7 linked regions of the Mus musculus genome follow. The protein of the gene in region 1 interacts with the protein of each later gene in a pairwise test. Links are inferred from orthologs where the notes say so. Each region holds a gene or a part of one and is shown in the gene's direction. Other genes may lie near its edges. The genes, in order: Dtx2, Abhd16a, Ncs1, Glyctk, Trim54, Arnt2 and Spg21.

What was found.
Region 2: the proteins of Dtx2 (region 1) and Abhd16a interact in binary tests that used the Homo sapiens proteins (3 or more experiments, as listed by UniProt). The two-hybrid records come from large-scale screens. The link is inferred for Mus musculus from reciprocal best matches to the Homo sapiens genes DTX2 and ABHD16A.
Region 3: the proteins of Dtx2 (region 1) and Ncs1 interact in binary tests that used the Homo sapiens proteins (3 or more experiments, as listed by UniProt). The two-hybrid records come from large-scale screens. The link is inferred for Mus musculus from reciprocal best matches to the Homo sapiens genes DTX2 and NCS1.
Region 4: the proteins of Dtx2 (region 1) and Glyctk interact in binary tests that used the Homo sapiens proteins (3 or more experiments, as listed by UniProt). The two-hybrid records come from large-scale screens. The link is inferred for Mus musculus from reciprocal best matches to the Homo sapiens genes DTX2 and GLYCTK.
Region 5: the proteins of Dtx2 (region 1) and Trim54 interact in binary tests that used the Homo sapiens proteins (3 or more experiments, as listed by UniProt). The two-hybrid records come from large-scale screens. The link is inferred for Mus musculus from reciprocal best matches to the Homo sapiens genes DTX2 and TRIM54.
Region 6: the proteins of Dtx2 (region 1) and Arnt2 interact in binary tests that used the Homo sapiens proteins (3 or more experiments, as listed by UniProt). The link is inferred for Mus musculus from reciprocal best matches to the Homo sapiens genes DTX2 and ARNT2.
Region 7: the proteins of Dtx2 (region 1) and Spg21 interact in binary tests that used the Homo sapiens proteins (3 or more experiments, as listed by UniProt). The two-hybrid records come from large-scale screens. The link is inferred for Mus musculus from reciprocal best matches to the Homo sapiens genes DTX2 and SPG21.

What each region holds. Positions count from the first base shown.
Region 1 is NC_000071.6:136,008,300-136,011,799, forward strand, and holds part of Dtx2 (probable E3 ubiquitin-protein ligase DTX2), read left to right. Parts: intron 1-1,714; 5' UTR 1,715-1,789; coding exon 1,790-2,057; intron 2,058-3,500. UniProt on the Homo sapiens protein: Regulator of Notch signaling, a signaling pathway involved in cell-cell communications that regulates a broad spectrum of cell-fate determinations.
Region 2 is NC_000083.6:35,099,291-35,103,487, forward strand, and holds the end of Abhd16a (phosphatidylserine lipase ABHD16A), read left to right. Parts: intron 1-1,044; coding exon 1,045-1,108; intron 1,109-1,348; coding exon 1,349-1,398; intron 1,399-1,594; exon of another isoform or gene 1,595-1,671; coding exon 1,672-1,795; intron 1,796-1,951; coding exon 1,952-2,056; intron 2,057-2,251; coding exon 2,252-2,315; intron 2,316-2,488; exon of another isoform or gene 2,489-2,537; coding exon 2,538-2,594; intron 2,595-2,679; coding exon 2,680-2,742; intron 2,743-2,855; coding exon 2,856-2,932; intron 2,933-3,007; coding exon 3,008-3,106; intron 3,107-3,184; coding exon 3,185-3,231; intron 3,232-3,379; coding exon 3,380-3,463; 3' UTR 3,464-3,697; downstream 3,698-4,197. UniProt on the Homo sapiens protein: Phosphatidylserine (PS) lipase that mediates the hydrolysis of phosphatidylserine to generate lysophosphatidylserine (LPS). LPS constitutes a class of signaling lipids that regulates immunological and neurological processes.
Region 3 is NC_000068.7:31,244,680-31,248,722, forward strand, and holds the start of Ncs1 (neuronal calcium sensor 1), read left to right. Parts: upstream 1-1,243; 5' UTR 1,244-1,499; coding exon 1,500-1,563; intron 1,564-4,043. UniProt on the Homo sapiens protein: Neuronal calcium sensor, regulator of G protein-coupled receptor phosphorylation in a calcium dependent manner. Directly regulates GRK1 (RHOK), but not GRK2 to GRK5. Can substitute for calmodulin. Stimulates PI4KB kinase activity.
Region 4 is NC_000075.6:106,155,339-106,159,607, reverse strand, and holds the start of Glyctk (glycerate kinase), read left to right. Parts: upstream 1-1,469; 5' UTR 1,470-1,742; coding exon 1,743-2,119; intron 2,120-2,311; coding exon 2,312-2,463; exon of another isoform or gene 2,464-2,615; intron 2,616-3,023; coding exon 3,024-3,199; exon of another isoform or gene 3,200-3,500; coding exon 3,501-4,269.
Region 5 is NC_000071.6:31,130,112-31,133,611, forward strand, and holds part of Trim54 (tripartite motif-containing protein 54), read left to right. Parts: intron 1-930; coding exon 931-1,103; intron 1,104-1,876; coding exon 1,877-2,048; intron 2,049-3,500. UniProt on the Homo sapiens protein: May bind and stabilize microtubules during myotubes formation.
Region 6 is NC_000073.6:84,281,039-84,284,538, reverse strand, and holds part of Arnt2 (aryl hydrocarbon receptor nuclear translocator 2), read left to right. Parts: intron 1-411; coding exon 412-546; intron 547-2,367; coding exon 2,368-2,442; intron 2,443-3,500. UniProt on the Homo sapiens protein: Transcription factor that plays a role in the development of the hypothalamo-pituitary axis, postnatal brain growth, and visual and renal function. Specifically recognizes the xenobiotic response element (XRE).
Region 7 is NC_000075.6:65,459,496-65,463,736, forward strand, and holds the start of Spg21 (maspardin), read left to right. Parts: upstream 1-1,441; 5' UTR 1,442-1,659; intron 1,660-3,205; exon of another isoform or gene 3,206-3,409; intron 3,410-4,241. UniProt on the Homo sapiens protein: May play a role as a negative regulatory factor in CD4-dependent T-cell activation.

The sequences.
Region 1 (3,500 bases):
ATAGTCCCTTAGCTGTTCATGTTTTTGTGTGGTAAAGATGTGAGTGTGTGCCTGTTTGTGTATGCAGAGGTCAGAGGAGGACTCATCACTTTCTATCTTACTGCTGAGACAGGGACTCTTACTGAACTTGAAGTTTGCCATTTTGGCTAGGCTGGGTGGCCAGCAAGCTTTTGAGATTCACCTATTTGTTTTATAGCACTGGGATTACAGATAGCAAGCATGCCCAGCTTTTCTGTGGGTTCTGTAGGTCTAAACTTGGATCCTTAGATCCTAGAGCAAACTGTCTATCTCCCCAGCCTAGGAACCTGTGTGTAAGTCCTACCTAAGCTACTGTCTCAAGAGTGTCTTGGAACCCTTGTTCTGGGCTACAGAACACCTGTGAGGATGCTGTAGTAGGGTGTACTCTCACAAATAAGTCCTGAATTGGGAACTGTAGGGCTCTTACACAAACATACAGAGTCATTGTGGCCTTGTCCACAAAGATTTGGGGTGATTTAGATACACTGAGTGCCAGGGCATGGCTCAGCAGAGAGGAGCTGGGGTGTGTGGCATGGGTAGGTCTTCTGTGTGTGCATCCCCACATGTGAAGGAAGGAGGGAAAGACGGAAAACACTGAGCAGAAAGTAGTAGAATCAGAAGGAAATGACTGGGCAGATCAGCACCCCACTTTCACTGTGCTCCCATCTGGGATGTTTGCTGAAGTGGAGGTAAGGAACAGGAATGGCTTTTAAGATTTTTTCAATTATTCTTTGTAAATTTCACACTATGTGTGCCTCAATCCCACTCATCTCCCTGTTCTTTCACATCATCTGACCTTGCAACATCCCACCAACATAAACAATAAAAAATAAACAAAAATTATCTCATCGTGGAAGCTGTGGTGTGTCACAGTGTGTCTGTCCCACAGTCTATCCCTCTTGTCCACATATCTTTACTTCAGTTCATTGCTATGAGTCCTTGGTTTGGTTCGAGTCTTCTGGCTTCTACTACAGTACCAATGCTGGCTCTTTACTGGGACTCCTCACAGCTAACCTGCAGCCTTGGATCTGCAGGACCTGTCCCTTCACATGCTCAGCAGTTCATAGATGGGGTAGTTGTTGGGCTGGGCCAGCTCAAAGCCCTGGATCTGGGCCTAGGTAGTAGCTGAGGTGGTCAGCCTGCCAGCTCTCCCACACCTATACCATCAGGGTGAACTCTATAGCACTGCCCTGGCTAGATAATCCAATGGGGAAGCAAGCAAGGGCCAGGGCCAGGGCCAGCTCTCCCTCACTCATGTCACCAGGATCAGCTCTACTGTGGCGCCTGGGGCTCTGGTGAGGTGTGGGCTGCTTTCCCAAATGCTGTAGCTGGTGAGGGGCGGGGTCAGCTCTCACACCCCGGGGCTGGCTCACCCTCTCCAAGAATGACTTAATTATCCTGTCTGCTAGAACAAGAGATAGGGATCAAGAGTTGATCCAAGGTACCCTGAAGGTGGTAGAGAAAAGCTGGTATTGAGGCAGCCAGGCAGTGTTTGCAAACTCCTTTAATCTCTGCACTTGGGAGGCAGAGGCAGGTGAATCTCTGAGTTGGAAACTAGCCTGGTCTACAGAGTGAGTTCCAGGACAGCCAGGGATACACAGAGAATCCCTGTCTCAAAAGAACAAAAGAAAAGGTTTTCTTTAGCTGCCTGACAAGGTCCCCAATGTGTGTGAGTAAATACTGTGTCTTTTTCTAGGTCCCCCAGAGGTGCTGGGCAATGAACCTGAACCTGCAACCCAGCGTGGTGTGAAGTCTTCAGAGAAAGCAGAAGATGGCCATGGCCCCAAGCTCGTCTCTGCCGCAGGTGTACCCTAGCCACGTGGTGGTGGCTGTGTGGGAATGGCAGGATGGGCTTGGCATTTGGCACCCCTACAGTGCCACTGTCTGCTCCTTCATTGAGCAGCATTTTGTCCGGCAGAGGGGCCAGCATTTTGGACTGGGAAGCCTGGCCCACAGCATCCCCTTAGGCCAAGCTGACCCCTCACTGGCCCCTTACATCATCGACCTCCCCAGCTGGACTCAGTTTCGCCAGAACACTGGTAAGACCCTTCTGCCTCTAGAGGGTGAGCCCTTGGTTTGTGACTTGGTCCTTCGATGCCCTTTGTCTTGTGAGCCGCTGTACCCTACAGTGCCAGGCTTTGGGCTGGGTAGTTAGGCTTTAGGTTATGGTTGTGACTGACACACCCTCCATTACTGTTCTTTACATGAACACATCTGATCGGAGCCTGCTCTAATTAGTAATAGCACCCAGGGCTGGGGAGATAGCTCAGTTGGCAGAGTGCTTACCTCTCAAGCAGGAAGCCCTGGGCAGGAAGCCCTGGGTTCTAGCCCCAGCACTGCATAAAATCCTCGATGAGCATGTACCTGTAATTGTAGCATTCTGGAGATGGGGGCTGAAGGGTCAGGAGTTCAAGGCTTGAATCATCCTTGACGATTGCATAGTGAGTTCTAGGTAAGGCTGGGATGCATTAAATCTTGTCTTAAAAGAAGCCAGCTATTACCTGGAGGAATGAACCATGTAGTAGTAACAGATGTATTTGGGAGTACATGTGGAGGCTCTCTTGGCTCCATCATCTTCAGCAGACTGGCTGGCATGCAGTATGTATGCCATACACTAGTGTATGCTGTGGTAGTTTTGAGAATATTCTGCTTGCTTGTAATTCCAGTACTTGGGAGGCTAAGGATGGAGTATTTATAAAACTTTGAGTCTAAATTGTCTCAAAGGCAGAGAAAAAGAAAGCCTTATCAAGTATGAGCCACGTTTGACAAAGCTGCTAACCTCTTTTGCTATAGAGGGTGGGCCCTTGCTTTGTGACTTAGACCTTTGACGTCCTTTGACTTGTGAGCCTCTTTTTTTTTTTTTTGTTTTGTTTTTGTTTTTTGAGACAGGGTTTCTCTGTATAGCCCTGGCTGTCCTGGAACTCACTCTGTAGACCAGGCTGGCCTCGAACTCAGAAATTCACCTGCCTCCCGAGTGCTGGGATTAAAGGCGTGTGCCACCATGCCCCGCTTGCCTTGTGAGCCTCTTTACCCTGCAGTGAAAGCTGGAAAAAATAGGATCTGCTAGTCCTGAGTCAGATAGCCATTTGACTGTCTACCAACAGTGATGATGGTGAATTGTTGGGGGGAAAGAACTGAGGCTGGGGACGTAGCTCAGTGGTAGAGCCCATACCTAGAATATGTGAGGTCCCTGGGGTCCATGTCCAGCAACACAGACATGTACAAATATACATAAACACACCAGACGTGCCATACATATACCACAGACACATCCACCCACGTAGGTACAAATACAGGCATGTACAGACACATACACAGACACAAATATACGTACTCAAACATGACATGGACACATCACTGACAAACACATATGACAGATGGATACACACATGCAACATAGACACATGTACTCACACAGATACACACACAAACACAAATGCACAGACATGGCATGGGCAGACACACATGCAGACATAGATACT
Region 2 (4,197 bases), on another chromosome or scaffold:
CAGGGCCAGGGAGATGGTTCAGCGGGTGCAGTATTGGCCATGCAAGCGAGAGGACCTGAGTTCTGATCTTGAGAACCTGTATAGAGCCTGGCATGGTGACCATGAGAGCTGTAGTCCTAGCTCTCCTGTGGGAGGGAGGCGGGAGACGCCTTGGGCACCCCCTGCCAGCTGGCGTATACAGCACTGCCACAGGCAACAAAGACCCCGCCTTGAAGTCGGAGGCAAGGGGACACAGGGGAGGAGTCCTTCTCACCGCCACACACGTGCTGTGGATCACGTTTAAGGTCTTGGCTACATGGTGAGTTTGCAGTTTAAAGATGAGAATATCATAGCCGACTGGGGATGTCACTGTAGCTAGCGTATGCAGCCTGATGGCAGTTCATCACCAAAGTGAAGTCAGGTATAGAGAGTTGCCTAGTGTTCGGGAAGCTCACCTAAAGCCAGGCATGGTGCACTCTGTCATCCCTGGGCTGAGTTCAAGGCCTGACCAGGATAAACAGGACCCTGTCCTACAGTAACAAAGAGTAGATGGGATGGTGATGAAGGAGGCCCAGGCAAGATTCTGAGTTCCAGTCCACCCTGAACTACCTAGTGAGACCCTGCCTCAAGGAAACAGAAATAGCATTGACACATGCAGGACCAGCCTGTGGGTTATCTCAGGTGCTCTCACAGCTGTGAGGAGCAGCGCTGCAGCCTGAGCTGAGGAGCCCAGCTCTTAAGGCAGCACTGGCCTGGGAAAGCACTGCACAGGCGGCCAGGGGGCTGGGTTCTGCCGCCCGCCTGCCTGCCCGCCCGCCCACTTGCCACCATCCCCATGCTTTGGCTTGAACACCATGGAGGGCGGTGAGGAGAAAAATGTTTGCACACCTAGGAGAGTCCCAGACACATCCTATCAGAGCTCTCCTGGTGGCATCTCAGGGGAAGTGGCCTCCGTGCTGGTGACTTAGACTCAGCCTCCATAGTCTCCTGAGGCCCTGTGCATAGCACCTGCAGTCCCTTTGTCCCGCCCAGCACTCTCCCACCCCTCCTCTCTCTGCTCCCCAGGTCATCTGCTGTGAGGGGAATGCAGGATTCTATGAGGTGGGCTGTGTCTCCACACCCCTAGAAGGTAGGCTCGTGGTTCACACCTCTTATCTCTATCCTTTGGACCGGAATGTGTCTCCTCCCATGCTGACCTCCCTCCCGTTCATCAGGGTGAGGTCCAGGTCTCTCCCTTGTGAGGGAAGGTCCACTCCCGCCCTGTTAACCTTGCATTCATTCCTGGGCTGCTTGTCCTCCTGCCCCGCTGCACGGTCGCATGATTCCCCCCCACTCCTCCCTGACTCCCTCCCTCCTCCATGTGTTACAGCTGGCTATTCTGTCCTGGGCTGGAATCATCCAGGCTTTGCAGGAAGCACGGTGAGACCCTCTCTGAAGACCTGTCCTTTTCCAGAATCCTGTGCATCTTCCTCTGCTCAGCCATGGGAAGAAGGAACCTGGTGCCCATTTCTGCAGGGCCTTCCACATGCCTGTGACCTGGGTGCTGGGGAGCTGCAGCCCCTCCTCCCATGGCAGTCAGGGACACAATGGGTCACATGATCTCTGTGTGTTACAGGGTGGCTGCAAGAAGGGTCCACACTAGGTGAGCTGTCTTCTGGCTGACCCCTCCTGCTTCTGCCCGTCTCCCTGCAGGGGGTACCATTCCCACAGAACGAGGCCAATGCCATGGATGTGGTGGTTCAGTTTGCCATCCACCGCCTGGGCTTCCAGCCCCAGGACATTGTCATCTACGCCTGGTCCATTGGAGGCTTCACTGGTATCTGCCTCCCCTACTCGTCCCTGCGCAGTAGAGATGGGCACAGGCACGGGTGGCTCCCAAGGAGGGGGTGGATGGAGGCTTTTAGAGAGAGAGGTTGGAAGTTGATAAGACCTACATGAAGGGACCCAATCCTATTTCTTGTTCTGCTTCTAGCCACGTGGGCAGCCATGTCCTACCCAGACATCAGTGCTGTTATCCTGGACGCCTCCTTCGATGACTTGGTGCCCCTGGCCTTGAAGGTCATGCCGGACAGCTGGCGTGAGTGCAGCTCCCTTGCCGGTCCTTCCCGTCAGGGTGGCAGCACAGGCCTCTTCTGACTGGGTGCTGTCACTGTGTGGGTGGAGATAGGCCACCCCGTTGCCGAGAAACAGGGCTTCCCTGCCCAGTGGACAGTGGGACCTTTAGGTTAGGCAAGCTCTTCATCTCTGCGTCCTTCACGGTGTCCCACTCTAGGAGCCCTGGTCACCAGGACGGTGAGGCAGCATCTCAACCTCAACAACTCGGAGCAGCTGTGCAGGTGAGGGTGGCCACCGTGCCCGTCAGCAAGCGGCCACTACCCGAGCTGGCCCAACCCTTCCCGGGGCTAGGAGACCCTGAATTGGCTCACTCATGATGTGGCAGTGAAGGGTTAAGCCTGGCTCCCAGGGCCAGACTGAGCCCGTGCCCTTAAATCTGTTACTCCTGCCTCAGCTGTGGCCTGGCTCTCTGAGCTCTCCCTCCCTGCTGCTCTGTTCTGAAGGTTCCAGGGCCCCGTGCTGCTGGTCCGGAGAACCAAGGACGAGATCATCACCACCACGTGAGTACCCGGGCTCTGCCTTCTCTCCCACCTTTGTCACCATGGACACAGCTTCCCAACCAGGGTTAACTCTTGTCGCCCCCAGGGTCCCTGAGGACATCATGTCCAACAGAGGCAATGACCTCCTGCTGAAGCTCCTGCAGTTCCGGTGAGCTCTGTGGGAATACACACCTCAGTGCTCACACCAGTGAGGCGGAAGGATGAGGTGGGGGCTGAGGCGTGAACTGGTTCCATTCTGTCCCACCCTGTGCTCCTCCCAAGGTACCCTCGAGTGATGGTGGAGGAGGGGCTCAGAGCTGTGAGGCAGTGGCTGGAGGCCTCTTCCCAGCTAGAGGAAGGTGAGGTATCTAGAGGCTGGTGGGCAGGGGCCTGGCAAGGAGAGCTTGCTGAGGACACTCCTCTGTTCCCATCAGCCTCCATTTACAGTCGCTGGGAGGTGGAGGAGGACTGGTGTGTGTCTGTGCTTCGCTCCTACCAGGCAGAGCATGGGCCTGATTTCCCCTGGAGTGTGGGTAAGGATGGTGTGGAGGGCTGGGAGGAGAGGAAGGACGTCCCAGGCAGGGATTTGAGGGCCTCTTCTCCCTGTGCAGGGGAGGACATGAGTGCAGATGGACGGAGGCAGCTGGCGCTGTTCCTGGTGAGCTCAGGAGCTGGGTGAGGGGCAGGGCAGGGGCAGGGCCTGCACAGCGGGGCTCATACAGAGCTCATGCAGGGATCCTAGAGTGGGTGGATGCGTGGCTTCTGAGGGGAAGCTGCCCTGTTCTGACCTGACCTGCCTTTCTCAGGCCCGGAAGCATCTACACAACTTTGAGGCCACACACTGCACTCCACTCCCGGCCCAGCACTTCCAGATGCCCTGGCACCTCTAGAACCACGTGTAGACTCTTCTGGAAGGACAAGATAGGAGGAGACACGAGGGGATACTTTTGTGACTCTCTTCATGTTGCTGTTTATAGTCTGGCCCGTGGGGACATCCCCTCTGGCCAACAGTCCTCCTGCACGTTTCCCTCATCTATGTGGAAGCACTTAGCTCCCCTCATACACACCTGCATTAAATGAATGATTTATTCCTAATAATTAATAAAAAGGTATTTTTTCTACAATCTGGCTGCTTATGAGATGTTCCAGATGTCCAGACAGCTAGTGGCTTGGGCGGGGAGAGCAGAAGCCCTGGAGGGTGAGCTTGGGAGACCCTGCTCAGGCCAGCTTAACTTCCCTGCCTCAGCTATCGTGCACTTTGGGCCCACAGTCCAGACCCTTCGTGTGCTGTGCCCAGTGTTCACACAGCCACCATGGCTCTCACTGCCCACCCGGGCCTTCCTGCGGGCGGCTGCCTGGGTGGTGGTCAGAATGCCCCTCCTTTATAACTGTACTTTGTGGTGTACGGTTCTGCCTCCTCAGCTTCTCTCCTGAAGGTGCTTCCCCATCCCCACCCCCATTTTCCTTGCTTAGCTCTGCTTATCTCCACAGCAAACCGACCCCATGCCTGTCCTTGGCATGACACCAAGTCTGTCCATATACCATGTTTGCAAGTCAGCACACAGCCAGTGGGGACCAAGGGCCAGGCCCCAAGCACTCCTGTCCTCCCAGCGCAGAGCCTGAG
Region 3 (4,043 bases), on another chromosome or scaffold:
GCTTCATCTTGCCATGGTCTTTCCAGGGCTCTGGTTCCTGGCATGGGTCATTCCTCCCCTACCCGATCTATTTTCATGCCTTTCCCTGAGAACTCTTCCTCCTAATGTTGTCTAAGCCAGTTGTGAACCAGGGATCCTACTGCCTCCCCACCCACTTCCCTGTTTAGCTGGGCTGGCTCCCTGGCCTCTGCTACTAAGACTGGCTCACAGAAGTTGCCACTGGCCCTCAGGGCCTTCTGAGAGCAAGACATATTTCTGCTCCCCTCCCCCTGAGGCTCATTCTTTGGAAGAAGCAAGCGCCAATGGACTAAGAGGTCCAAGTTTTCCTGAGCTGTTAAGGAGACAGAGTTGGGCAGAAAGTCAGGAGAGGTCTCAATTACGATGACATTTTGGGAGGAGGGGAGAGCAGGCCATCCTTTTCCTGGAGTCCTTCCCCAGCTGCAGGCTTCCAGGCATGGAGCCCCACCAACAGGCTCTGCTCCCTCTGGCCACTTCAAGCAAGCCCCACAACAGAGAAGGTTTGAACTGCAAGTACTCCTGGGCACCGGGGACAGAGGCCAGGTCTTTGGGGAAAGCGGCTTGCCAGGCTGGTCTCCAGAAGCTCTGGCCCTTCTGCCTGGCCTCAGATCATTCCCAGCCTTGCCTGGAGCCCCGGGTGTAGAGGCTGCTCTCCCTCCCAGGCCAGACCCCTTCCAGGTTGATACCCCATTCCTCTCTCAATCTGAAGTCACTTCCCTCAAGGCCAGGCAAAAGTGTTCCCACCGAAACCCATGCCAGCCAGCACATCAGGATGCTCCTGGAGAGGTCTGGGATCGCGTCTGTCCTCTTGGCCGCCAGGTCCCCAGCGCCCAACACATCTAAGTGGAATGAATGAATTGCGCCGGGCAGGGATTTGGCCTCGTTCACGTCCGATTTTCCGGGCCCTCCCTGCCCACGCCGCTGCGGAGAGGGGGGAATGGATCGGCGGAGGGGGCGGTGCGGCGACCTCCCAGCGTCCCCGGAGAGCCAACAGGAGAGGGGGTGCCTCAACGCGGAGCTCGCGCCTGTCGGAGCTGGGCGGGAGGTGGCGCCGGGCGATGAGTGGCGGCTCCGAGTCCACCCCTGGCGCGCCGGTGCGGGCGGGAGGCGGGGAGCGTAGGGGCGGCGGCGGCGCAGCAGTAGCGAGCATGTGCTACGCAGCCCAGTAACCAGGGACGACCGCGGCAACCGAGCCCCGGCGGCTGCGGCTCTCAGCCCCGCGCAACTCCTCGCCGTGGCCGCTTGCACCGCCAAGGCCTGGCCCTCGCCGGGTCCCCGAGGCCCCTTGAACCGTCAGCCGCGGTCGCGCAGCACGCCGGAGCCCCGCGCACGGGACGCGCGGGCACGGCCAGACAAAGGCGCGGCCCCGGCCCGGCCCAGCCCGGCCTGCCGGCCTCCGCGCACCCCGGCCCGACCCAACCGCTCCCGCTGGGCGCCCCGAGCGGGTCCGGCCCGGGGAGCGGGGGCCGCGGCCGCCGAGCATGGGGAAATCCAACAGCAAGTTGAAGCCTGAAGTTGTGGAGGAGCTGACCAGAAAAACCTACTGTGAGTGAGCCCCGATCCCAGATCCCCGATTCCCCATCGAGCCGCGACCTTCCCTCCGCCCTTCCCGGCCGCGCCCCTGCCCCGCACCTGGCCCATTGTTCTATCCGCGCCCCCGCCCCCGGCCATGGCTGGGTGTCGCCTGTCAGCGTGCTCCAGGGACCACTCTGGGTCCTCAGGGCATCCGCAGCCCACCCGCTGCTCCCCTCCTGTCCGAAGGACCCGGGCTGTGCCGGGGCGGGGGGCAGTGGTCCCAGGAGGGGGCGCCCGGGCGTTGTGTGGCTCTCCTGCTTGGAGCAGGGTGGGTGGGTGATTCATGCTTAATGATGCTGCTGCGGCTCCTGCCTCTTGCGAGGTTGGCCTGTCGCCCCCTCCCTGGCAAGTGTGACTGTGTTGGGAGGAAGAGGGCTGGCGAGACTGGTAGAACGCTCAGGTAGTGACGGTAGAGGGCCAAGGGTCCTGGGCGCCCTCTTAGATGTCGCACGGTTGGGCTGTATTCTCCATCCCCCCTTCCCTTCTCCTGTCTCTACCGCACCAGGAAATGGGTTTACATGGCCCGAGCTGACGAGCGAAGGAAGGTCTGTCCCACTCCACGGTCCACTAGATCAGTCCCAGGCGTGGCTCTCCACTTGCCCAACTTCACAGATCTGCCTCTGCATCTTTAGTGCCTCCACACCAGGTGTCCCCCCTCCTCGCAGCCTCTCCAGGGGTGGCCCTGGAAGTGGGTCCTGGGAAGCTTTGGCTGAGCGCTCTGCATCACCCGGAAAGACAGGCAGTTAACTGACAGCTCGGTGTAGATGGAGGCTCTGGTGCAGTGCATGGTCTCTGCTCTCACCCCCACCCCCACCCCCGGTATCGGTCTTCTGAGCACGTTTGCAGGTCTTGGTCAACCTAGTGCCTTAGCCCCATGCTCCTCACTCTCCCAGACTTAGAACAAAGGGGGCTTTACTGCCTGGGCTCTCCTGGCCCCTGTCCTGAGGAGTTGGACACCTTGGAGGTCACATCCAGGAGAACTATCCTTCCCAGCCCAGGCTGCCTACTCTCTCTTTCCAGATTGGGTGGGTAGCTTTTTCTAGCTTGTTGCTGTTTGTGAGGTTAACTGGACCCTCGAAGGTGTGGCTCACAGCCATTAGCAGGTAGGCTATTGGTGGGACACCCTCCCTCCCTGAACGGGCCAGGACCCCAGGGTGTGGGGAGGGTAGAGGGCTCCATGGACTTCTCCAGGAACCATGGCATGTGGTGTACCATGCTGTCTCCATGATGGTGAGGCTGGGGGCCACCAATGAGCCCTGTGAAGTCAGGGTCCTGCTTACTGAGTGTGTCATGCACCATCGGCTGTGTCCTTAGCACAGCTGTACATCAACAGCTTGTCCTGTTCTGGGCACTCCAGCTGCTCATAGAGAGGAAGGCAAGGCTGGGAGATGTGAGCTGGCATCCCTGGCTTATGCCAAGAGCCCTCTGTGCCTCTCTTTCCTACCCTGGCCCAGTGCTGGATTTGAAAGACCTTTCGTTCAGCCCCATCTCTGAAGGGCTGGCCATTAACTTGGGAAGAATGGGGCCAGCAGAACTCTTGTCAGGCACTGGCCTGGTGAAGTTCCGCTGAGCTATTTTTAAAGGGCTTTTGTGATGTGGAGCAGTTTTGTTCAGGGATTGAGGCAGTCTGGGCACTTCCCCCTCATCCAAGGCCTCACTTAGGGCTGGGGGACTCACTTGCTTCTCTCTTATCTCCCTGTGAACACCAGCTCCCTCCAGGCAAGTCTATGTGGTTGGTCCACAGCTGCGCTCTCTCTCTCTCTTTCTCTCTCTCTCTCCCCTCTCTTCCAGGGAAATACTGAGTAGGGAGTTAAGGGACGCATCATCCAGGAAGGATTCCCAAATGTCACCATCTCCTATCCCTGCTGCTTGGCTTGCTCTTCTCTTAGGTCTGGGCTGAGCTCTGGAGTTGAGTTCTTGACAGTGTGAATTATGAGGCCGGAGAGATGCTTTGTGCAAGCATGAGGACCCGAGTCAGGTCCCCAGCACACACCTATGTAAGCTGGATACTGTGGTTCATGCTTATAACTCCAGCACGGGGAAGGCAGACATAGAGGGATTCTGGGAGCTCACTGGCCAGCCAGTCCAGTGAAATGGCCAGCTCTGGGTTCATTGAGAGACACCAGCCCAAAGAATAAGGCGGAGGAGCTGGAGAGATGGCTTAGCGGTTAGGAATGAGCACTGCTCTTCCTTAAAGACCAGAGTTCAATTGCCAGCCCCCACATGTGTGGCTCACAACTGCCTGTAACTCCAGCTCAATGTGAGCCACAGTCTCTGGTCTCTATGGGTTCTGTATTCACACACACAACTGCTCCAAGCTCCTTGCACATAATTAAAAATAAAACAAACCTTTAAAAGCAAAGGAAGGTGGAAAGCTGTAACATCCAGCATTGACCTCTGGCCTTCAGCTGCAATCGAAAGGGTAGAATACATCTACACACAAACCAACA
Region 4 (4,269 bases), on another chromosome or scaffold:
CCCTTGAATTCTAATAGGGACCTTCTAGGCTTTTGCCCTTCTGGGAAAGAGATACAAAATTCACCTAGGACTGAGCTTTATGTTTTGGATGCTAAGATGTGTTTAGTACCAAGCCCGGGGAATCCCATACATGAAAACTGAACATGTTTGCAGGCGTCCCGCGGCAGTGCCCTGTGTATTCCTTTTTACAAACAGTAGTTTCTGGGAAAGCTAGCTGGGAACTACAAGGCTAAATGGCGGAGGTTTGGCAGGCGCTACGTTGTTTAGGAGTGGGATAAACTGTTACCTGGAGTTTTCTCTGTCAGCTTGTACAGAGAATCAGAAAGCCCTAGGTGTCAGGAAAATACGAGCGTCAGTCTCCCAAGCACTATGGAGAACTGGATGACTTTATGCATGCTAGGGAAGGTCTCTCCCACAGGACTACACTTTCAAGTTCCCTTGAAAAGTGAGAGTTAGGCTTCATTGTGTCCCACATCTTGCAAATGAGCTCAGTGTGAGAAAAGATATACTAATACACGCTTTAAAAAAAGCTAGAACCCCATCCCTAGACTCCGCCCTCTTCCACCCATGCTTACGGATACAGTTGTCTTTCTACCTTTTTAGGGGCTTGAATGTAGCTCAGTGGTAGAGCGCATGCTCGCTCGTTACATGGACAGCCCGGGCACAGTCTTCAGTACCCTCCTGTCCCTAAACTTAGATATCTTTTTGCAGCTGAGTCTTTTATTGTTCCTGTATAGTTACGCTGTAGCTTCCCGACCTTTACCCCAAGACCTTTCTGTCCTTCACTCTGCCCAGTGGAGAAAATGATTGTTTGGGCTTCATTACTGGAACCCGGCCTTTGCCTGCTCTAGCACTGGGCTGTTTTTGTTGTGAAGGGTGTAACTCAGGACTTGTTTTTTGCTATCATGGAGCCAGAAAGGGATGTTCCTGGCAAGGCTGATCATGACCAGCTGTATGGGGACAAGGGTGTCTGGTCTTGTCCTATAGATTGAGCCCCATAGCACATGTCCTTTTGCTTATAACCTGGGGACTTGCTGAAGGTCTGACCTTGAGTGAGATTTGTGGTTACTCTTGATTCGTGCCTGGACCACTTGCTGAACTAGCCTGAGTCCTGAGCTTCCTTAGGCTGTGTGCACTGGTAAATCTGCAGCCTTTCCACATGGACCCAGCTTTGCCAGACTGGTTGTATGAGCTAACAGAGCAGGCTAGAGGTCAATGGACTCCGGGTCAGTTGGCTAGACAACCAATAGCCTTTTTTTTTTTTTTTCTTGGCAGTAGAAGTGGTAAAGGAACGTCTAAGGCATAAATGCCAGAAAGGGGGCACTGCCGTGGTGTGAGGGCTTTGGAAGTACAGGATGTGGAAGAAGAATGGCCCAGGGGCCTGCTGGTAGGAACGGCGTCCTTCATGAATGATTAACTTCTAGGCAAAGGAGGTGACCTAGGAGGAAGGTCCACTTAACAGGAACTTTGGACTTGGAGCAGAGTGTCCAGAAGACTGGTGTGTGGTCTACAGAAGAGGACGTGGCTGGGCATCAGGGCTGGGCTTTCAGGGCTGGTGTAAGATCAGGTTTGCTGCAGGCTTCATGACTTCTCCAGGTTTCATTTCAGGTTATGGAGTCCGCCAGTCCTGAGCCCTCGGAGGGGTGGCCATGATGGATGGTGGGGTTCTGTCCGTGGCCTCACTCCTTCTCCTCCCTCTCTAGGCAGCTATGGACACGAGGCTGTGCTGAGAGAAGCGGGGCATGGCTGCGGCCCTACAGGTCTTGCCCTGTCTCCTCCGAGCCCCATCCCGTCCACTCCTCTGGGGGCCCCCAGTGGCCCGGATGACCAGTGGTATGGCTTTGGCAGAACAGGCACGGCAGCTGTTTGATAGTGCAGTGGGTGCTGTGCAGCCAGGCCCCATGCTGCAGAGGACACTGTCCCTGGATCCTAGTGGCAGACAGCTGAAGGTGCGGGACCGGACTTTCCAGCTGCGGGAAAACCTCTACCTAGTGGGCTTCGGCAAGGCCGTACTGGGCATGGCAGCTGCTGCCGAGGAGCTGCTGGCTCAGCATCTTGTGCAGGGTGTGATCAGCGTACCCAAGGGGATCCGAGCCGCTATGGAACATGCTGGAAAGAAGTAAGAGTCTATGGGCGCAGGGGGACGCCCTCTACTGTCCTTTGGAAGAACACCTCCCTTCCTCTTTGATCTCCCTATCTCCTGGGTCTGGCCTGGTTTCTAAATGGGTTATCAGTGGGCCGCTTTCACCTGTACAGCTGAGAAGTCAGGTCGGAGGAGAGGAGCCCACCCCCATCCCTTCTCCCTTCTCAGAGAGATGCTGCTGAAGCCACACAGCCGCATCCAGGTGTTCGAGGGCGCCGAGGACAACTTACCGGATCGGGATGCACTCCGGGCCGCGCTGACCATCCAGCAGCTGGCAGAGGGGCTCACTGCAGATGACCTGCTGCTGGTGCTCATCTCAGGTGTGGGACCAGCCGACAGGGGTGCCCCGAGTACCATATGGTCACAGGGTGAAGTCAGGACCATGGCAGACAGTGAGGAACCTGGAGGGTACCTAGTGAGTGGTGTCAGGTTGGTCACCTCTCCTCAGCTGGAAGTTCACCCTGTTGAACATCTGTAATGGTGAAGGCACAGCTGGGTACTAACACTGACACACATCAGAACCTTTGGAAGACATTGCTGTCTGCAGCGGTGTCATTCGTGCTCCTGAAGCTGAGTTTCCAGACCCCATGGATCTCTCTTCTTGCTTATTTGCTGTTTTTTCTTGCTCTTTCTTAGTTAAATTTAAAAACAAAAATTTTTGGGGGGTATTGGGGATAGAGTTCAGGGCTTCACACAGGCTAGGCAAGCACTTTGCTAGCAAGCTTCTCCTGGGATCTGGTATACCCCTACTAGGGGACAACTTCACTCTGTGTCCACAAGGGGGCACTGTAACCCCACCTTCTTAGAGGACCTTCCTTATGGCTTGCCTGGTTCTCTGGGTCGGGCTGTCTCCTCTCCCTGACACTCTCACTGACTTTAGGTGGGGGCTCAGCCCTGCTGCCTGCTCCTATCCCACCTGTCACACTGGAGGAGAAACAGATGCTCACCAAGCTGCTGGCAGCCCGAGGAGCCACGATCCAGGAGCTGAACACCATCCGCAAGGCCCTGTCGCAGCTGAAGGGTGGAGGGCTGGCTCAGGCTGCCTATCCTGCTCAGGTGCACTAATCACTTCTTCAGTAGGCCCTGGGTTCCCAACACGTGACAGGGAGATGAGAGCTTAAGCCAACATATGAGTTGGCAGGGGCCTGGCCTGGAAAGTCCTGGGAGGAAGCCTAGAGAGAGTAAGAGGGAGGCTTTCTGGTTAGGTGTTCTGCCAGCCCACCTGAAAGTGGCAAGATGTGGGTAGATGTGGGCAAGGAAGCATACCAGATGCTGTATACCCAGGCCCAGTTTGTCCTTAAGGGCCCCGGAACACGGAGGAGGCAAGACTGAACCTTATTTTGTGGCCTTTGTCTAGGTGATAAGCCTCATCTTGTCAGATGTGATTGGGGACCCTTTGGAAGTGATTGCCAGTGGCCCTACGGTGGCCAGCACCCACAGTGTGCAAGACTGCCTGCATATTCTCAACCACTATGGCCTCCGTGCTGCTCTTCCCCGCTCTGTGAAGACTGTGCTCTCCCGAGCTGACTCTGACCCCCATGGACCACACACCTGTGGCCACGTCCTCAATGTGATCATCGGCTCTAACTCTCTGGCGCTGGCTGAGGCTCAGAGGCAAGCCGAGGTGCTGGGCTACCATGCCATGGTGTTGAGCACAGCCATGCAGGGTGATGTAAAAAGAGTGGCTCGGTTCTACGGGCTGCTAGCCCGGGTGGCTGCAGCCCACCTCACTCCATCCTTGGCTGAGCGTCCCTTGGAGGAGGAGGCGGAACTCCATCAGCTGGCAGCTGAGCTCCAGCTCCCGGACCTGCAGCTGGAGGAGGCTCTGGAAGCGGTGGTAAAGGCTAAAGGGCCGGTCTGCCTCCTGGCTGGTGGTGAGCCCACGGTGCAGCTGCAGGGATCTGGCAAGGGCGGTCGGAACCAAGAACTGGCCTTGCACGTGGGAGTGGAGCTGGGAAGGCAGCCACTGGGACCTATTGATGTGCTATTTTTGAGTGGAGGCACTGATGGGCAGGATGGGCCTACAAAGGTGGCCGGGGCCTGGGTCATGTCTGATCTCATCAGCCAGGCTTCTGCTGAGAGCCTGGACATCGCCACCTCCCTCGCCAATAACGACTCATACACTT
Region 5 (3,500 bases), about 100 Mb from region 1:
TCTAAGACACACAGTGTAAAGAGCCTCAGCTAAGCCGCCAGTGCCACCATGTCCAGCCTTTCTTTCTCTCCTTTTCTTTTTTAGACAGGTCTCATTCATCCTGTGCTGCCCTCAAACTCCCTATGTAGCTGAGGATGATGTTAGACCTCCTATGGAGCAGACCCGCCTACCTCTACCTCCCAAGTGCGCCACTCTGCCCCTGGGGATCAAATCTAGGGCAGCCTCTACCACTTGAGCCACATCCCGAGCCTGGCTGCAATTCCTCTGTCCCTGTTCAGCACTTGAGTTGTGTGACTCTTCCCGGGACTAAAGAGAAGCACTCTCATGGCTCAGTATTTGGGAGACAGAGGCAGGTAGTTAGACAGAGTGTTTGAGGCCAGCCTGGACTACATAAGACCCTGTCTCAGGGAGAGAGAGAGGAGAGAGAGAGGAGAGAGAGAGAGAAAGAGAGAGAGAGAGGGAGAGAGAGAGAGAGAGAGAGCCATAAGCCCAATACTTGGGAGGTCAAGGTAGAAGGATCAGGAATTCAAGGTTATCTTCCATTCACGTGGAGTTTGAGACAAGATTATATTATCTTGCCAAACATACATGCACATGTACATATGCACCACCTTACATGTGCTCATAAGGGTCCAAGCTGGAGGACACTGGCTATACTGCCAGTCTCTTGCCTACAGTTAGCATTCCTGTCAAAGCCCCATGCTGGACTCCATTGAAGATAGTGATCAGGCCTGGGCCAAAGTGAGGCTCTGTGTGCGGGGACACTCAAGGAGCTGAGCTGAGGGATGAGGCCAAGGCAGGAAATCGTCTGTCAGAGTGTTGTCTGGGGACACCAAATGCAGAGAAGACCTAATGTTCCCGTGTCAGCTCACCACTTGCCTTCCCTCACACCTCCTTACACTTCTAGTGTCCTGTCACCTGTCTTCTCAGGCCTCTAATCCTCTGTGGCAATCCCGGGGCTCCACAACGGTGTCTTCAGGAGGACGTTTCCGATGCCCATCTTGTAGGCACGAGGTTGTCCTGGACAGGCATGGTGTCTATGGCCTGCAGCGGAACCTGCTAGTGGAGAACATCATTGACATCTACAAGCAGGAGTCCTCCCGGTAAGATAGATGCCTGGCTGCTGGCCTCTCTGGAGGGAAGAGCCTGCACCCTTGGGGATAGAGGGGCAGTTTAGGGTTTCCATTGCTATTGTGGAGCACTGTGTTTGCCTCACACTCCCACATCATAGACATTCCTGAAGTCAGGACAGGAACTCAAAGAGGGCAGGAACCCGGAGGCAGGAGCTGATGCAGAGACCATGGAAGAGTGCTGCTTACCGGCTTGCTCCTCATGGCTTGCTCAGCCTGCTTTCTTATAGAACCGAAGACCACCAGCCCAGGGATGGCCCTACCCACAGTGGGCTCCCCCATCAACATCCCCCATCAATGGCTAAATAAGAAAATGCCTCACAGGCTGTCTATAACCCCATCTTTTGGAGACATTTTTTTGATTGCAGTCCCTTCCTCTCAGATGATTTTAGTCTGTGTAAGCTGACATCCCCCCAGCAGAGGGAGGAGGACAACAAAGGGGAAAGAAGACCTAGGGAGGAGGGGAGGCCTCCAGGGAGGCCCGACTTTGCCTCTGGAAACACTGTTCAATCTTACTCCCTCCTCCTGGTCTGGGACCAAAGTCTACCTCAATGTTCTTGACCTCATCAGCTCCCATGACTTCCTGTCCTGCGTGACATCTTTGTCCCCTGGAATAGATTCTTCCTGGGTCCAGGTCTCCTTTGAGCATCGTTTCTTCCCCAAAGTGAGAACGCTGTGTAAGTTTCCGACCACTGGTCACAGTCTGGCTCCCTGACAGTCGCTGCTGCCTTGCCCTTGATCCTCAGGCCACTGCACGCCAAGGCTGAACAGCACCTCATGTGTGAGGAGCACGAGGACGAGAAGATCAACATCTACTGCCTGAGCTGCGAGGTGCCCACCTGCTCTCTCTGCAAGGTTTTCGGCGCCCACAAGGACTGTGAGGTGGCCCCTCTGCCCACCATTTACAAACGCCAGAAGGTATCTAGTCAGGGAGGGGTCGGGAAAAGGGTTTAGGACTGGGCAGTTCTCACTGTACTTAGGTAAGGGGTGGTCAGGGCAAATCCCCAGCTCTGCTTTCTACTCTGCACACGACCCTGAGGCAGTTACCTGACCTCCCTGACCCTGACTGCCTTCTCTGGTCAGGCAAGGTGAAGACAATGGTTATGGCCACAGCATCAGCTAGTTAATATCTAACGGGAGCCACTTCAGGACGGTATCCACCAAAGGACCAGATACGCTCAAGAGTGTGAAATTACACAGCTAACTTCCAGATATGCTGAGATTTTTAAGATCACACCAGTTGGCCTTTGAGAGGAGAAGGGCATCCTAGGAAGGTGGGGATGGGGGGTGGTGGTGGGAGGTGGGAAGGGCAGGTCCAGAGAGCCCCTGCAGGCAGGAGAGATAACATTCATCACATGACCAATGCTGGCTCAGTACAGGCTAGAGATAGAGGCCATGCCGCAAAACCTGCAAAACATGTGTAGGTAGAGGTGCATTTAAGACTCCCCAAACCTCAGCTTGTGTTGAAGTCCCAAGATATCAAAGAAGTCGTTTATATCACCTGGTTCTTGTCAGAAACAAATGCAGATGTTAAGCTGGAAGAAGATGCCTTCAATGCAGGCCCTTAGATTAAGATCAACACAACAATCACAATGGAAGATACACAGAGAAATGGACCACATGAGTGCAATTAGCAGAAACCCTTCAAACCCTCAGGGAATTGAGATGTTGGAATTATTAAAGAACAGAAACTTGCAATGTACACGATGTTTTTAAGAAGATAGAATAATGTCAGGCATGGTTGAGCACTCTGTAAGTCTTAGCACTCAGGATGCTGGGTGCCCAGCCTAGACTACATAAAGAATTCTAAGCCAGCCTGGGCTGTATAAGGAAAGACCCTGTTTTAAAGAAAAATAAAGTGGGGCTGGAGAGCTCAGTGGTTAAGAGCACTGTCTGCTCTTCAGAAGGTCCTGAGTTCAAATCCCAGCAACCACATGGTGGCTCACAACCATCTGTAATGGGATCTGATGCTCTCTTCTGGTGTGTCTGAAGACAGCTACAGTGTACTCATATACATAAAACAAATAAATCTTAAAAAATAAAAAAATAGAAAAAAAGATGAAATAAAACAACAGCATCATCATCATCATCAACAACAACAAAAGGTAGAATTGGAGATATAGCACACTTGCCTAGCACAAAGCCCCGGATAGATCCCCAGAACTGAAAAAAAACAAAAGTGCAAAATGACCATGTAGCAGCAGTGGCCTGTTGTGGTGGCGAACACTGTAATCTCAGCTACTAGGGAGGCCAAGGAAAGAGGATAACAGATTCAAAGCCAGTGTGGATAACATGAAAAGGCCCGATCGAAGAAAAACCAAAGCAAAGCAAGCTGAACATAGATCTGACAAAGAACTGAGTGGAAACTAA
Region 6 (3,500 bases), on another chromosome or scaffold:
CTAAGCCTGACCATTTTCAAACAAATGAATAAGTGATTTAATTCACATAGAACAAACACTAGATCTCTTCTCGGGTGCATGACATAAGAGTAGCTGGGGTGAATTCAGTCCAGAAACACATACTTTTAGAGTCTCTGCACCAATTTCAGAGGGGAAGATGAGAGAGCGATAAGACAACATTTGCTGAGCCCGAACCATTTGCCAGCATAGTGTGCAATATCTTTTATCATCACAAGTGCCCTGTGGCATTATGGCTTGTTGTAAATATTCATTATCCCCATGGCCTAATAAATGTAAAGAAAGCGGCCACGCATTAGTTCAGTTCCTCACGCTCATCTTCGCAGTGGCATAGCAGGATGTGTGGGTTCTTGCCATGTCCTCATCTGCATCTTTATCAACCCTCCATCCCAGGTGACCAGCTCTCCTGTGTGCATGGACATGAGCGGCATGTCAGTGCCCACAGAGTTCCTGTCACGGCACAACTCTGATGGGATTATCACGTTTGTGGACCCCAGATGCATCAGTGTGATTGGCTACCAGCCCCAGGTCAGTGGCTAGCCCTGAGCTCCTGATACTGGTGAAAGATGTAACTTCACTCAAAAGGTATTTATCTTGCTTGTTGAAGGTTCAGCACAATGACATCATAGAGAAATGACATAGGAGTCCAGATTCCTTGTTTAGCCAGGCTGACATCCTTCACAAGCCACACTGTTCATTGTAAGACAGCACCACTGTCACAAAGGATGGGAGTTAATATCAGTTTATTTTTATTACAAAGCTTCTGTATGTCTGACAACTGTCAAGATACCTAAGGGGTGTTTGCCTCAGGAAATCTTTTACTTAGGACATATTTTCAGATCTTTTCTCTGGATCCTTTCTGAAAAAGGATGGGAAACACAGAAAGGTATGAGCCACCCAGGAGAAGCCAAGAGACCACAACCACATATTATAGTACAAAAGCATGATTCATGTCCCAAGCCTGAGGATCTCTGCCTAGAGGAGACACCTAGGGGACAAGTGTGAGGAGTATGGAGATGATATCAAATCAGTATTGGTTTCTTAGGTATGATCATGTTTTGGTTTTGCAGTCTGATGAGACATTTATTATATTAATGCTGAAAGACTTCGTAGAGAAATATTATGGGATTTACAACTTATTGTTAAGAGATAAAGAGAGAAAAAGAGAGAGAGAGAGAGAGACTATCTCCCATCTGCATTTGTATGTGAACATCTATAAAGAAAATATTTTTTAAAAGAAAATAAAAAATATTAATAACATAATGATATAATTGAATCGATGCAATGATATGCAGGTATTTATTTCATGTATATCCTTTTACCTTTTCTATAGTTTCTTAAAATAAAAAGTCATTTAAAAATTACATACAAACATGTCTCTTTGTTCTAAGGAAAAGACTTTGGGAAGCTTTGGGATATGTTAACATGAGTTATTTTAATTGCATGTGTATTTTTATTTTATTTACTTAACTTTTATCTGTGCTTGAATCAGCCCCGTGTGTAGATTTTAGAACTGGTTCAGACAAAATTATTAGAGCCTTTCTATAATTCTGAAGCTAGATTCATGCAAACTATGACCTCTCAGATAGAATGAAGTGAAAGTCAATGACCCCTGACAGCCGTGCATTTCTGGACGGACCTATGCATCCTGCAGCAGCTCCCTGAAGTGTCTGGGTGCTCCTGAGGCATAGGAAGTGCCCTTTGCTGCTGAGTCGGCTCACTTCCAACACCGTGTGTTCACACAGGTTCTCATCACTGAGAATGCTTACATCCTTTGCTGTTTAAGACACTTCCCTGGAGCACAGTCAAAATTGCTCTTTGATGGTTTTTTTTTTTATTCTGCTCCTACTCAAGGTGAAACACACAAGTTTTAGACGAAGGCTGGATCTTTCAAATAGCACCTAGACTAGTGAAGGTCAATAATGAACAAACTTGAGGCAGGCACAGTTATTATAGCCTCATTCAGCCACTGGTTTCCATACTTAAACAGTTTCAGTTTTCGTAGGCAGCATGTCTGTCCTTGAGCTTTCTTTGGATGTTTTTAAAAATATGTTGATTGCAGTTTGCCTCTCCAAGGCAAACAGAAATAAAGTTGTATTTTAAAGCTGCTGATCTAGCGCCCAAGCAAAATTAGAAGTGAGGACGAGCCAGGGGAATTTAGAATGGATGCAAGGAAGCCAACTCCTCAGCAGACAGGAGGAGGAAGACCATTTTATGTTTAAGATTGCGATGGGCAGGCAAGAGGAGGTGGGCTCAAGGGGAGGGTATAAACACCACCTTTGTCTCCAGGGTAGGGGTAAGAGATAGAGAGTGGGCTTTGGGGTTACTAAAGCTGTCTGTCCCCTTTAGGACCTTCTGGGAAAGGATATTTTGGAATTTTGCCACCCTGAGGATCAGAGCCACCTACGGGAGAGCTTCCAACAGGTATTGTTCATGGCTGCTGCTGCTGCTGCTGCTGCTGCTGCTGCTGCTGCTGCTGTTGCTGCCTAGTGAGGTACCTGGGGTGAGGGAGGGCTAGAGGGATGAAGGCCTACTGTGAGCCACCAAGCTCAACTACAGTGTCAGCCAGCTATTCTGGGCAAGATTTCAAGCATGGGGGTAAGACCCATGAGGAATTGCTATGTGGCAGGAATGGAGGGCAGGCTCTGAGGCGTCTCCCCAAGCAGCAAGGCTAGAGAGGGTGACTTGGGAGAAGAGGCAGCTCCCAGAGGAGAGAGCAGCTGACAAGAGTTTAAAAGGAGAATACAGAAGAAATGAGAGAACATGCTAGGGGCATGGGCCTGTACCAGACACACTAGTGTGCCTACCAGAAGGAACCTCTGCAACTCCTAGGGCTGAAAAGGAGGTAGTGGCAGGCAGTGAGACCAGCCAGGTCAGGTCTGAGGCCTCCTGGGTCCTGCTATAAGGCCTCAGCTCTCCCCCAGGATCCATGAACGTGAGTAGCAATTCGTTTGAGCACATAAGGCAAATGATGCTTTGAAGAGCCACTTGGGAAGCCCAGGTATGCAAATAAATGAAAACAAGGGTAAGTCAGAAGACCTTGAAAATGAGCGATGGTCTCCAGAGCTGTGCAGGGCCTATGGGAATTAGATATGGGAAGTAACTTAAGGAGAGAATAATTCAGACAGGAACAGTGAGGTAGAGGCAGCCTGGCAGAATGGCCACCATAATAGTGCACACACTTTTGGACAGGCACCTGTCACAAGTCACTGTTGCCTCCTATGGTGAGCACAGGGGACAGGAGAGTCTTGAAGCAAAGGACAAAGTGTCACACTTTGGTGAGTTAGAGCTAATTAAGAATGAGGCCTGTGGACTCCTCAGGCCTGGAAGGGGGGTGGGGGGGGGAATTCTCCCCACCAGACTATGTTGTAATCCTGGAAATGGAGAAAATGGACATAAGAAAAGAGACCTGTGGGCCACTTTATAAGAGAGGAACCTGCTGCCATCCACTGGAATATGGGCTTAATTTATTACTTGTTTTC
Region 7 (4,241 bases), on another chromosome or scaffold:
TTTTGAACAATTCAGTTAGCTTTGAGATACAGTACCACTATTTGAGATCCTTCTGCCTCACCTTTTTGAGAGCCGAGACATCACTATGCATTGGGGAAAATGTGTCTGGTGTTTGTCTAAGTTCTAGACTGGAACCTAAGACTCCTGAGCCATAGATCAGTGTTTGGTTGTTTTGTGGTTTTGTTTTTGTTTTTTTGAGTCATTGTTTTCGTCTGTGCTCTCTAGGCCTGGAGAGATGGTTTGGTGGTTAACAAACTTACTGCTCTTCCAGAGGACCAAAGCTGAGTTCCTAGTACCCAGTCAGGCTTGATCCATCTTAATCATCTGCAGTTCCAGCTCCAGGGGGTCCAAAGCTGGCCTCAGCAGGCATCAACACACACACGTACACACACACACACACACACGCACACACACACGTACAGGCACACGCACACACACACACGCACACGTACATGCACAGGCACAGGGACACGCACACACACACACACACACGTGGGGGCTGAGAGATTGCTCAGAGGTTAAGAATACATATTACTTTTACACCCGTGTTAGGCAACTCACAAACACTTGTAATGCCAGCTCTAGGATCCTCCTCTGCCCTCCTTATAAACTACACTCATGTGCACCATATATTCTCTCTCCCACAAACACACACACGATTAAAAGTAATAATAATAAAAAATATTTTTAAAAGTCCCTAAAACATTAGGATCTTGCTTTAGGAACCTTACAAATTTTCAAACAAGATTGACAGGTCACTCAATATTATTATGCATTATTTCAGAGCAAAGCTGTAAGCTAACTGAAAGGTGTTGTGGCATCTGCCACATCTCTCGTAAGAACAGTGACTAGACTGTGCCTGACAGAAGAGGGCAAACCAGCGCTGAGTATACCCCCTCAACATCAGCACAAAGCCATAAAAGGAGACAAGGCTTTGAAAGGAGGTCAGAGGACAGCGTCTATACAAAAGGTAAAAACAATTTTGCTGAGAAAGCATATGCAGTTGGGAGGCTGAAGGGGAATGGGACATGGGAGGCAGAGACTAAGGGAGGGTGATGATCCAAATTCTTTATATAGGTATCAAAATGTCCTAATTAAGCCATTGTAATGAACTGATATATACTAATGTTTTAAAAAGACTATGTCAAGGCCTATTCACCAAAGCTATGGACCAAAAGTGTCTCCCCACCAAAGCATGAAGACGCCTAAAAACCGAAGTCAGAAGCACATCCCCGGGGCCTACAGCCTAGATTTTTCACTTCCTCCTCCATGCTCCTGTCAGAAGTGACCAAGAACTGACCCTTATCCACCACCAGCCTCCACAGCCTCTAGGACACCGCAAATCTCAGAACAGGGCCTCCCTTGCCAGCCCCGTCGCCATAGTAACCACCAGAGCCCCGCCCCTTCCTCGCCATCTGGTCCCGCCTCCTCGGAACCCGGAAGCGGGAGGCGCGCCCGGGGAGCTCGCAGTACCAAAGCTGGGAGGCGGTGGCCTCTGGCTGCTCGGCCGCGCGCCCCCTCTGCCCGCTGCTCCCGCGGGGCTCCTGATCTGCGGCCGCCGGTCCAGTCCGCGCCCCGCCGACTCCATCCTCTGCGCCCAAATCGGGGCGAAGATCCGTCTAGGCTGGAAAGAAAGGGACGCGGGAGCGGCCACGGCAGGTGAGGGGCAGGCCCTGGAAAGCAAGAGTGTGGGTGTGTGGTGCGTGTAGGGTTGTAGGTGGGCGTGTATCGAGCATGCGTGACTTACGAGCAGAGTTCACGAGTGGGCAGGTCCTTGTGACCATGCACGTGATCCATATCTCTGTGTGTGCGTGTGGTGCGCTCTCGCGGGCGCCTGTGTGTGTCCGATTGTGCCTGTGGGTCTGTCTAAGGTTCAGCCTCGGTTCATTGCGGATTGTTGTTGTTTCTGAACTGGTGGAACCCAGGGCGGCCCCTATGGCGATTGGTGCCCAAAATCCTTAGTCAGACATCCTCATTTTCTTGAGCCACCCATCCTGGGGCAGAAATTCAGGAGCATTTTGGTTTCAGTCAACTTTTAAGGGCTGCGAGTAGAGTTGTTTTAAAGATCCTACCTCAGACTAGGTGTGAGGCCTGTGAAAGAGTCATGAAGAGTGTAGCAGGGCGAGAGAAACCCCCCCCCCCTTTTTTCTTCTTTTCCCAGGGAGTTAGAAGTTAGGGGCTGATGTTGTTTTGTCTCCATCTGCAGTGGTCTAGCTTCTCTTTTTGCAAGGATTCTGCACATTGGGAAGCCGTCTAATAGCTGTGTATGAGTTTTCAAAAAGATTTTACACCAGAACCTTGAAACGAGTGGTCAGAGAGAAAGATGTGCGGGCAGCGTCTCCTCTCATGATATTTAGAGAGAAGTGGATAGGTTCCTGGAGAAAGGATAAATCTTACCTGAAGAAATCTCCAAAAAGATGGCTATTTAATACATATAGGTGTGGTGAAGGATGAAGATGTGTAGTGAACAGCCCGCCGCAGGGCCTTAGGTGTAGTTCAGTGGTAAAAGCCCATGGTGAGCGTTCCCCAACACCGAGAACCATAGTTATGTCACCTAGAGGCTCTCTAGTTCTAATAACCTTTTTAATTGGTTGTATTAACAACCACAGATTGTCCCTATATAAGACACCTATACATTGAGATAAAGGACCAGCAATATGTGACTGACCGTGTGTTAAACATTTGTAGAGGCGATTTCCTCAGCTATGAACTGCAGGTTCTGTTGAAACTCTGAAGGCCAAGTACATGCTCTCTCACAACTAGCCAACTTACTGTCCAGCAACGCAAGGTCCAAGAAGAGCTGGGGAGCCTTAGCATCCTGGCCAGCGGGAGGAGGGGTTTCCTTGATAAAGCTTATCTCTGCCTCTTTCCTCACCAGCCTGAACAGGTGCTTCTGTTTTTTGTAAAGAACAGAGTCACGAGAAAGCAAATCTGTCCTGAACACACTGCCCATGTTTCTTTTCATCCTGACCAGTTTGGTCACAGTCTCAGCTAACTTTCTGGGCCACAGATTTTTTTTTTTTTTTTTTTTTTTTTTTTTTTTTAAGAATGTTTCTCTTGTGACTTGGAAAAGCATCCGGCTTAAGTGGATGAAAGAGAGCTAGAACAAACTTTCCTTTTCATACCCTTCACAGCTGCTTTAGCTTTGCAGCAGGTTTTTTTTTTTTTTTTTCTTCCTAGCCGTCAGCTGGTCCTACGCAACATTTGGCAACATTTGGTAACTGTCTCACCTTTCCTCACCACCCAACCAGCACAAGTGTTAGAATCACCTGTCCTTGCAAAAGTGTCCTCACAGCTGTGTAGGAACTCTTATGCATCAAGATTAGTTACAATGTGGTCAGTACTGAGCTGCTTGTGAGTTATACTGAAGACCCGGTAAGGACTACCCTTCGGCCACTGTGGGAAAGAAGTAGGTAGCTCATTTGTGTGCCTGCCTGTGTGCTTGTACCTAGTTTGGTTTGTGAGTGGCATCTTATTAAAACTGTGGATAATTTTTTTTTTTTTTGTAAGTTGGTCGATCCTAGAAGTAAACTTTAACAAGTTGATTGATGTTTTAGCTTTGTGTGTTTGAGACAGGGTCTTACTATTACTGCATAGCTCTGGCTGGCCTGGAACTCACTATGTAGACCAGGATGGCCTTGAACTCCCAGAGAGCTAGCTGTCCGCCCCTGAGGGCTAGGATTAAAGATGTGTGCCATCACACCTGGCTGTTTAGCCTGTCTTTAATATTCCCTCCTGCAGACATTCTAGAAAATGTTTCCAGTTGGAAGTGCACAGATGCTGTGGTGGTATTTCAAGTCTGTCCTGATATAAAATATTCCAGGATTAACTGTATATGCCGCTAGTTGCTTTTATTTTAAAGTAATAACTTAAAGGGAGACAGGAGAGTTAAATTAACTAAAATGTACTACATAAATGTATGAAGCTATCAAATAAAGCAGTTTTAAATGGTGAAAGATGTGCTAAAAATGGTTTAAATGGCTTAGTTTTTTTTTTTGTTTTTTAATTAGATGTTTTCTTTATTTACATTTTAAATGCTATCCCCTCTCCAAAAATCACCTATACCCTCCCCCTGCTCCCCAACCCACCCACTCCTACTTCCTGGCCCTGAAATTTCCCTATACTGGGGCATAGACTCTTCGAAAGACCTAGGTCCTCTCCTCCCATTGATGGCGGACTAGGCCATTCTCTGCTACATATGCAGCTAGAGACACGAGCTCTGGGGGTACTGGTTAGTTCAT